3 linked regions of the Nothobranchius furzeri genome follow. The protein of the gene in region 3 purifies or fractionates together with the protein of the main gene of each other region. This does not show direct contact. Links are inferred from orthologs where the notes say so. Each region holds a gene or a part of one and is shown on either strand. Other genes may lie near its edges. The genes, in order: nod1, rnf41 and sugt1.

What was found.
Region 1: the proteins of sugt1 (region 3) and nod1 purify together in Homo sapiens (affinity purification with western blotting; 3 studies listed by BioGRID and IntAct, with this or other methods). This does not show direct contact. The link is inferred for Nothobranchius furzeri from reciprocal best matches to the Homo sapiens genes SUGT1 and NOD1.
Region 2: the proteins of sugt1 (region 3) and rnf41 purify together in Homo sapiens (affinity purification with mass spectrometry; 3 studies listed by BioGRID and IntAct, with this or other methods). This does not show direct contact. The link is inferred for Nothobranchius furzeri from reciprocal best matches to the Homo sapiens genes SUGT1 and RNF41.

The regions. Positions count from the first base shown.
Region 1 is NC_091745.1:81,042,941-81,045,268, forward strand, and holds part of nod1 (nucleotide-binding oligomerization domain-containing protein 1), read left to right. Parts: coding exon 1-1,126; intron 1,127-1,532; coding exon 1,533-1,634; intron 1,635-2,120; coding exon 2,121-2,204; intron 2,205-2,271; coding exon 2,272-2,328. UniProt on the Homo sapiens protein: Pattern recognition receptor (PRR) that detects bacterial peptidoglycan fragments and other danger signals and thus participates in both innate and adaptive immune responses.
Region 2 is NC_091755.1:37,149,475-37,153,827, forward strand, and holds the start of rnf41 (E3 ubiquitin-protein ligase NRDP1), read right to left. Parts: upstream 2,853-4,353; 5' UTR 2,728-2,852; intron 2,009-2,727; 5' UTR 1,913-2,008; intron 1-1,912. Other genes in the region: uncharacterized protein, read left to right, coding at 3,746-4,353. UniProt on the Homo sapiens protein: Acts as E3 ubiquitin-protein ligase and regulates the degradation of target proteins. Polyubiquitinates MYD88. Negatively regulates MYD88-dependent production of pro-inflammatory cytokines.
Region 3 is NC_091751.1:64,261,298-64,264,140, forward strand, and holds the end of sugt1 (protein SGT1 homolog), read right to left. Parts: intron 1,194-2,843; coding exon 1,092-1,193; 3' UTR 575-1,091; downstream 1-574. UniProt on the Homo sapiens protein: May play a role in ubiquitination and subsequent proteasomal degradation of target proteins.

The sequences.
Region 1 (2,328 bases), on a different chromosome or scaffold from region 3:
CGGATCACCTGAAGGCGTATATGAGCCTGCACTTTAAGGAGCAGGAGCACCGGGAGCTGGTGTCGGTGCAGCTGGAGGCCAGCCCCCACCTCTGCGGCCTGTGCTCCACTCCGCTCTTCTGCTGGATTGTGTTCAAGAGCTTTACACACCTGCACACCGTGCACGATGGTTTCCATCTGCCGGACACCTGCGTCACGCTAACGGACATCTTCCTGCTGCTGTCTGAGGTGTTCCTCAGCCGCTTGGCCTCCCCCACGCCTTCTCTGCTGAAGAAAAGCTCTCGCTGCACCTCGGAGACCTTCCAAGCAGGCCTCAGGCCTCTGGCAGCGTTTGCCAAGCTGGCCCTGCAGGGTTTGGAGAGGGGGAGTTTCCTGTGCAGCCTAGAGGAGATCCGTGAGAGTGGTCTGACGGAGGAGGACATGGCCCTGGGTTTCCTCAGACCTGCCAGTGACTGTGACTCCAGTGGAGGTTCTGCTACCCTTGAGTTCCTCCACATCACCCTACAGGCGTTCCTGGCTGCACTAGCTCTGGTGTTGGATGAGCACGCCCCAGCCAGGTCCATCCTCAGGTTCTTCATCGAGTGCAGCAGGAGAAAACCGTCCTGTCTGCCGTTCACCCTCTGCAACGGCAGCTCTGTGAGTCTCGGCCAAAGGAAACCATTTGAGAAGAACGAGCACCTCCAGTTCGTGAATCTGTTTGTGTGTGGGCTGCTGTCGAAGGCTCTCGCGGGTCTGATGGGCCATCTGGTGTCTCCCGCCGTGTTAAAGAAGAAACGAGCCTTGTTGAAGTCTTACCTGTCCACTAGTGTCAAGTCTCACCTGCAGGGCTTGCCCACCTTTGAGGGAAACGAGGGCAAGAAGGTTCATGTTTTGCCCAACTTCCTGTGGATAATCAGGTGCATCTACGAGACGGGCAGCGAGCACATCGCCCGGACGACGGCTAAAGGCATCACAGCCAGCTTCATTAAGCTGGGCTACTGCAACGTGTACTCGGGGGACTGCACCGCCATAAACTTTGTTCTGCAGCACCGCCAGAAGCTGCTGGGCCTGGACATGGACAACAACAACATCGGTGACTACGGTGTCAATCAGCTCCGGCCATCCATTAGCAAGATGACCGTAGTCCGGTAAGAATGGCTTTCCATCAGTTCATTTATGGCTGGGTCTTTTATTGTGAAGGGGTTTTAAAGGAAGTGATGTTCCTGATGGGAGGAAGTGTTGCCATTCTAGTTTATAGGAGCTGAAACGTGAGTCAGGCACGTTTCTGCTGCAGCCGCCATGTTGGCATCAGCTGCTACGAGTGAGACGGGCCGTTCTCTGGCCAGAACGTCTTCCAGAACGAGGTTCTGTTTCAGAGCACCGACCCGCTCACTGGTGCTGCAGATGTTAGACCAGAGGTGCTGGTGGAGCCTTGGCTCCTGGCTGGGTGCTCCACCTCTATACGGGGACAGGCTGGGGTCCTGCAGGTGTGCTGAGACACCAGACAGCTCTGGATTATTTCAGCCCTAATCTGTGTTTGAATCGTAACCATAGCAACTCTCCTGGATCCAGATTGTGTGTGAACAACCTGTCAGACCGCAGCGTGGAGGTGCTGGCAGAGGAGCTGTGCAGGCACAGGGTCATCAGGGTCCTGGGGTGAGTGAACACGAGATGCACACTATCAGGTACACCTGCTCAGCTCCTTCCTCAGACATCTAATCAGCCAATCAGACGGCAGCATTTATCCATCTACAATCGATGAGGGAGAGAGGAGATTTAAGGGAGTTTGAGCGTGAGTGACATGGTTGTTGGTAACAATCTGGTCAACTGGGATTAGAACCCACAACCATCTCTAGGGTCAGAGCTCAGATCGGTTCTGTGACTGGGAACTGAACACAGACATGTACATGTAGACGCCCCATGGACCGGCAGGCCGCCATCTTAGATGGGTCTCCATTCACATTGCTGTGGAGAGTGAGACCTATCCAACATGGTGGCAACGCTGTTACGCTCTCCAGTGCCCAATGGGGCGTCTACATATCCATGTCTGGTTCTGAAGGTAAGGAGTACCTGTGAGGATTAGTAACTGTATCTGATTACTTTGGGAGGTAGCCAAAGCAGTGAAGGTGGTTTGTGTTGCAGGCTCTACAACAACAACATCAGTGACACTGGAGCTCAGCTGGTCGCTCGCGTCATTGAAGAGTGTCCCAGACTGGAGGTCCTCAAGTAAGTTCAGGCGTGGGGTCATGATGGCGACGGGATGTTTGTCTGACGCCGCTCTTCTCTCCTTCAGGATTGGTAAAAACAAAATCACGAGTGTTGGTGGGCGGTGCCTGGCTGCAGCCGTGCA
Region 2 (4,353 bases), on a different chromosome or scaffold from region 3:
AAATTTCTTTGTCAACAAAATAATGTAAAGGAGGAATGTGATTGTCCCAAATCGTATTGTAATGGATGACCCAGATGCCTTTCAGAAAGCAGAAATGGAGATACTTGGCAATGCTTGTACTGCAACCTGATGAGCAAATGTTTCTATTATCACTCTAGCCATTTTTACAAAACAATGCCATTAATTTGCCGCAATGCCGTGGCAGCATCAGGGAGCCTTAGGTTGTTCATAAGTGGTCAGACTGTGGCGGTAATGTGGTGCAATCGTGTCCTTTTTATAAGATTAAGGCGGTGTGTATTGTAAAAGGGCTTCTGAGATGCTGAATTATTTAATCTCACCCCCCCCCCCCAAACCGAAAGTATTTTACACAGATTTCAACACAAGAAGGTGACATGTTTCATCATGTTGTTTATTATGAAGAGGAAGAAAATATCATTTCGATAGCGCTTCTCAAGATAAAAATCACGAGGCGCTTCACAAAAACAAAAAATGAAAAAATATAAAAAAGAATTTAGAAAATGGTTAAAAATATATTTTAAATGAGCAAAAAAAATGGGCAATTGTAATTAAAAAATGTTAAGAAAGAGAGAGAGTGAACAGGAAAGAGGGAAATCAGTGGATCCTGAGGAAGGTGGAATAGGTGGGGAGAGCAGAACAAAAAGAGAGAGGTGAAGAAGGTCATACAAAAGCCAGCTTGAACAGGTGAGTCTTCAGCTGCTTTTTAAAGGAGACCACTGAGTCCACTGATCTCAGGCTCAGGGGGAGAGAGTTCCAGAGTCTGGGGGCCACAGCAGCAAATGATCTGTCACCTTTGGTCTTTAGTCTGGTGCTGCACAACCAGTAGGCTTTGATCACCGGACCTCAGGGACCTGCTGGGGGTGTAGGGACTAAGAAGATCACCAATGTAAGATGGTGCTTGTCCATGTAAGGCCCTATAGACCAGAACCAGGATCTTGAAATGAACCCTGAAGTTGACTGGCAGCCAGTGAAGCTGGAGGAGAAGCGGAGTGATGTGGGTGTGTTTGGAGGACTTGGTCAGAAGCCGAGCACAGGCATTCCGAACCACCTGTAGACGGTTCAGGGAGGTTCTGCTCAGACACGTGAAAAGAGAGTTACAGTAGTCTAAGCATGAGGAGATGAAGGAGTGGAGAACTGTCTCAAGTTCAGAGCGGGACAGAATGGGACTCAGCTTAGCAACGTTCCTGAGATGGAAGAAGGAAGAGCAAACAAGAGAAATGACATGAGAATCCAGGGTGAGAGCTGGGTCAAAGGTCACGCCAAGATTCCTGACAGAAGGTTTGGTGTGGGAAGCAAGCTGACCAAGAGAGTCTCTGACTTTGGGAACCAGCTTGTCTGGGGCACAGATGAGGATCTCAGTCTTATCTTCATTCAGCTGAAGAAAGCTCCCAGCCATCCAGGTTTTGATAGAGTCTAAGCAGGTGTGTAACAGCTGCAGCTTAGACATCTCATGGGGCTTAAAGGAGATGTACAGTTGGATGTCATCTGCATAAAGATGGTAGGATATTCCTTTGAAGGAGCTCAGGATGTGCTGAAGAGGAAGCAGATAGAGGAGGAAGAGCAGAGAACCTTGTGGGACACCATGGGTAAGGGTGGTGGTGAAGGACCTAAACTTGGAGACGGCCATAGAAAAGGAGTGCTCAGAAAGATAATGTAATATAGTACAGTAACTAATTCTTTAGCTCACTGTTTGTATATATGTGTGTGTGGTTGTTTTTTTACATTTACATTTATACACTTGCTACGCTACTAAATACCAGTACTGTGAAACAAACCTGGCTAAAACTAAGATGAGAAGGGTTTTTTACACTATCTATGAATAATTACTATCAAAAAATGATTGACATTTTGTCAAAATAATAATTTACAGTTCTGGTTAGAACATCTTGTTTACCTCAAACACAAACTGCCTCAAATATTTCCATTCAGCTCCTCGATTCCTCACATCTGGCAGAAATGCTCTGCCTGCCTAAAAAGACACAGACCCTGCCTGAATAAAAAGGAAAAAATTATTGCATTTAAAAAAAAACTTTTAGTCTGATGATTGTAAACCACATATGCAAGAACATTAAATCCCATATCACGTATACACAATGTACTCAAATGAGTTTAACTAGCTGAAATCTGAGATTAAGTACTTTCTAAAAAAATTTACCATACCGACAGTTTTTTTGGAGGATAAAGAATTTGAACTTTAAATTGAGCGTAGCCATTTTCATACATATTCACATCCTCAGGCTGACTTTTCAACGTGATTTTACAATAAACATATTTATCTACTGTCCTGGTTAACAAATGAATGATTCCAAAAAATGAAAAGAAACAGCTTTGAGATCAACATGTTTCCATCATATTTCAGAGCAAGGAGCACAAAACTTAGCTGAGCATCGAGGTTTCTCAATGTTATCTTCACGCATATAATAACACTTTAAACTAAATCGTAAAAACTTGATTTTTAATAACGTAAACATGCGTCAAAGAGAAAAATATCTTAATGGTTTACAAAGTACAGCAGCACAGTTTGACTGTCACGATTTCTGAATATGTAACGTTAGCTAGCCCAGCTAGCGGCTACGCTGTCGTTGGTTTCCTTTGGACATTAGCTATAAGCTAACCAGACTGACCTCCGTTAGAGACAACTTCACACACCAATAGCTGTTTACAGTCAGCTGCACTGCTCAAGATATAACAGCTGACTGATATACTTACTCAGACATTGAGTAAAATAGATCCTTTTCACAATTCAGGCTGTTTTCAGACGTCGTACCAACACTAGCCCCTTGCTAATCACGTCTTGGTGCTACGTCATACAAGTCTACGTCTCAATCGACACGAGGGGAAACGTCATCACGCAAAACTGCAGAAATCCCAAAAGTGAATTTTATAATGAAAAATGTCTCTCTTACCGAAACAATGTTAATCACTAACACTGTCGAAAATGTCCTTATCCGGTTAAAACTTTCATAACGGACTGCTGTTTCTTTGTACATTCTTTTTTTAATTGTCTGTTTGTTAATCAGTTTTGGGTAAATAATTGTATAAACATTAATCCGGACTTCAAGTTATAATGGAGAAATGTGTTATTTGGGTTCCTCAGAAATGACATTGAGATTAAAAAAACACATTAATATTATAATAATGTAAGCTAAATGCCATGTTGAAAAGTTTGTTTGTTTTCAAGAGCTCAGACAATACATTTCCTCCATTATGATTTCATCCAATAAAAAAGCCTCAAATGGATCAATTTTGTGAAATAATTGTTAAGCATCAGTCTAATGTGCTCTGTTATGCTCTGTTATGTTATGCATCTGTGTAAATTTGTAAATAAGAATGTGTGTGTGTGTATATACATGTATGCTTTTATACTGAAAAGTACCTGTAGAGGAAGTTAAACTTTGACCTCGTAAATTGACCAATAAAAGGGAGCATTGGTGTTTTAGTGGCCGCAATCAGTGTGTGCTACCACCAGTGAAGGCCCGTGAAACAGACGCTCTGTTTATGGATTTATTTCCTCCTTTTTTTAATCCTGGAGATTCATTTTGGAGTCTTGGACCAACCGCTGGGTAAACGAAACTCTGCTAACAGGTTATGGGCCCAGCACGCTTCCGCTGCGCACCAAGCTAATCAGGACAGCTGGGAAAGCATCCTGCTAGCGTGTGAGGAGCACAGAACCGACCAACAGCAAGTCCGGTGAGTCGAGTGAGAGCTACGACGTGTGTCGGACACTATGAGTCGGAAGACAGTGGAAGCCAGTACCCGCTGGTCAAGACTGGTATTTGACGGAGACGAGGATAAATATGAACTGTGGGAAACAAAGTTTCTCGGACACCTCCGGCTACAAGGTTTGAAAGACATTATATTAAAACCGAAAGACGATGACGATGATGAGGAATATGATTCAAAGAACGCAGAGGCATATGCCGAACTTATACAATTCCTGGATGATAAGAGCCTTTCACTGGTGATGAGAGACGCAGCTGACGACGGGCGGAAAGCTCTAATTATCTTGAGAGAACACTATGCCGGGAAGGGAAAACCCCGCATAATAAGCTTATATACAGAACTGACTGCATTACAGCAGAAGAGCGGCGAGAGTGTAACGGATTATGTTTTGAGAGCCGAGGCCGCCATTACAGCGCTGAGAACCGCAGGTGAAACTTTGAGCGATGGACTGCTAATAGCAATGGTTTTAAAAGGTCTACCTGACTCATTTACGCCTTTTAGAATCCATGTGACACAAAGTGATGATGACATGACTTTTTCAGAATTTAAAAGTAAACTGAGAAGTTATGAAGAAACTGAAAAACTGCGTGTGGACACTGCCACAGAGGACAA
Region 3 (2,843 bases):
AGGATGGGGCCGGTGTGTTTGTGTGTGTCAGGGATGCTGACGGGGTGTGGGTGTGTGTGTGGACGTGTCACGGAGCTAAGAGCTCCATCCAGAGACCCAAATGAGTGTTTGATCATCAGCAGAGATGAAACGGTGTGTGATGAATTTAACACTTAACTCAGTGTGAGAGGCTTGATGATGTGGTTAGGGAGGCTGATCCATATTAATGCTCTCTTGCCTCTGCAGGACACCCCCTCACACTTACAGCTGCCTCGTGTACAGTGTGTGTGTGTGTGTGTCAGGAGAATAGGGTGGCTCCACATCAGCTGTAGATCATCACTACTCCCCTCTACAGCTGGCCAAACATCTCCAGGGCCCTTCCTCTCGATACCGATCACCAAGCAATAAGTAAACCATTTCCTCCAGCTGTCGGCCGCATCAGCCTCCTGCTCCCCTATCAGTGAAGGCACATTCTATGGCTCCCGGGTCATAATCACAGCTCCCCGTATTAATGCAGCCCCGCTTGTGTCTGAGCCATCTTGTTTGGAGACTTCCAAAACCGTCCCCAGACACAACAAACCACAACACACAGGGCGCCGTTTTAGAACCAAATCTTTTATTTACAGTGGAGTTAACGTCACAAGTGAAAATGACAGGTAGCCAGAGCAGAAGGTTTCTAAGTCCCGCTGTTTACAGAAAAATTGTTGCGTTCCTTCTTCTGAGCAACTTTACATTTTTACAACGGGCTGATTATGAAAAATGATGAAAGGCTTCACATGTTGCTGTTTGAAGGACAAAAACGAACAAAGATTATTCGTCTGCAGGTTGGATGGAGGCTTTTCAGGTCTGTTGGTCATGTTACCTCCCTTTTGGATGCATTGGCCTTTAAACCAGATCAATTAGTTCAAGAGATGATCTAAAACTGACCCCTCTGGTGATGACTTCTAGAGGAGAGTAGGCCAGGTGTGCGCTGGTAGAATGGCTTCTGAATGCCATCACAACAAGGAGAAGAGGACCGCCAGGCCGACTGCAGCTCCCAGGGAACTCAGCGGGGTCATCGCATGATTTTAAAAAGGGGAGGAAGAAACAAACAGGAGGAGGAAGAGAGGTGCTCAGTACTTCTTGAACTCTGCATCATCTGGAGGACTGACCTCCACCGTTCTCCGGCCCACATCGCCCCAGTTGGTGCTGAGAACCGTACCACCAGACTCCATCTGTAAAGGGAGGGAAAATACATGAAGGAATCTCTCTCTCTCTCTCTCTCTCTCTCTCTCTCTCTCTCTCTCTCTCTCTCTCTCTCTCTCTCTCTCTCTCTCTCTCTCTCTCTCTCTCTCTCTCTCTCTCTCTCTCTCTCTCTCTCTCTCTCTCTCTCTCTCTCTCTCTCTCTCTCTCTCTCTCTCTCTCTCTCTCTCTCTCTCTCTCTCTCTCTCTCTCTCTCTCTCTCTCTCTCTCTCTCTCTCTCTCTCTCTCTCTCTCTCTCTCTCTCTCTCTCTCTCTCTCTCTCTCTCTCTCTCTCTCTCTCTCTCTCTCTCTCTCTCTCTCTCTCTCTCTCTCTCTCTCTCTCTCTCTCTCTCTCTCTCTCTCTCTCTCTCTCTCTCTCTCTCTCTCTCTCTCAACCCTCACAGCCTAGAGACCTGTTTGCAATGATGTCTCCTCCTATTAAAGGTTGGGTGTGTTTCTGTTAAAAAGACCATCTAACCGTTACGAGGCTTCTTCCTGATGAGAGTTCATATCCTATTAGAAAGACAAGCATTTGCTAGTCTGTGATCTTAACACGGCTCCAAACTCCAGTTTTATTTCAACATGTGCAACGGTATTTTTTAGGAATTTAGCTGTTATTCTAGCAGAAACATGAAAGCTTGTTTGTAAATGGTAACAGGGGAAAATGGTAATGCAATACAGTTGGTGAAGAGGGTTGTCCCTGGCAGGGGCGGATTTAGGACTGAAGAAGATCCCGGGCTTAACACACACACACACACACACACACATGTGACACGCACTAGTCAACAACATCATATATGTCTTGTACCACATAATTTTTAATCTGAAGCTACATATGAAGCATATTCAGGGCAGAGTATTGTTCCTGTTAGTGTTTAGTGTGAGATGATAATAAATATTCCCTTTCTTTCTCCAACAACTTTACCTGATAGTAAGCTAACTTTAGGCAAACCAGCAGCACAACAAATATTGTCAAATAAGACTCACAAACCTGAGTCAACACCAGTCTCATCAAAGCTGGGGTTCTGTCGTTGTACTTTTTGATGACGAATAAGAGACGACAACAAAAAATGACAGAAACAAAAATCCATTCATAAAATGGACAAAATGGGAGGGTGGGGGTTAAAATACATCAAGCAAATTGAACAGGCGGGACTAGGCGAGAAAAAAACAATCAAGAGTCCGGGGCTGGCCGCTGTTTGAACAAGCTACCGCTAACCAGACATCATATACTGATGTTTATGCCTATAAAAATTGTGTTTAAAGGGAAAAAATGTCCGTGGCTGTGAGAAAAGCGGTAGATGTGACATTTGACACACCAGGGATTTCCCTGGTTATGAAAGTCTTACGGTGTTGTTAGCAGCTAGCAGATGACTGCTGGAGCTCACGGATCAGAGCGCTGCGCATCTCATCGTCTAATCGTTTATATTTTCATGGCTGTTACAGCCAATATAACCAGTGTTCAATGTTCTAGCAGTGCTTTTGTGAGGAGAAACATTCAGGTGTCCCATCTTGATCAATCGGTCTAAAAAACACCTTTGAATGGTCGGATGGTATGATGTCATTTCCTGTTATGTTTACAAATACTACAGCACATTATAAAGATGTTTTTAATTTAATCAATATTGAGCGGCACAATTTTA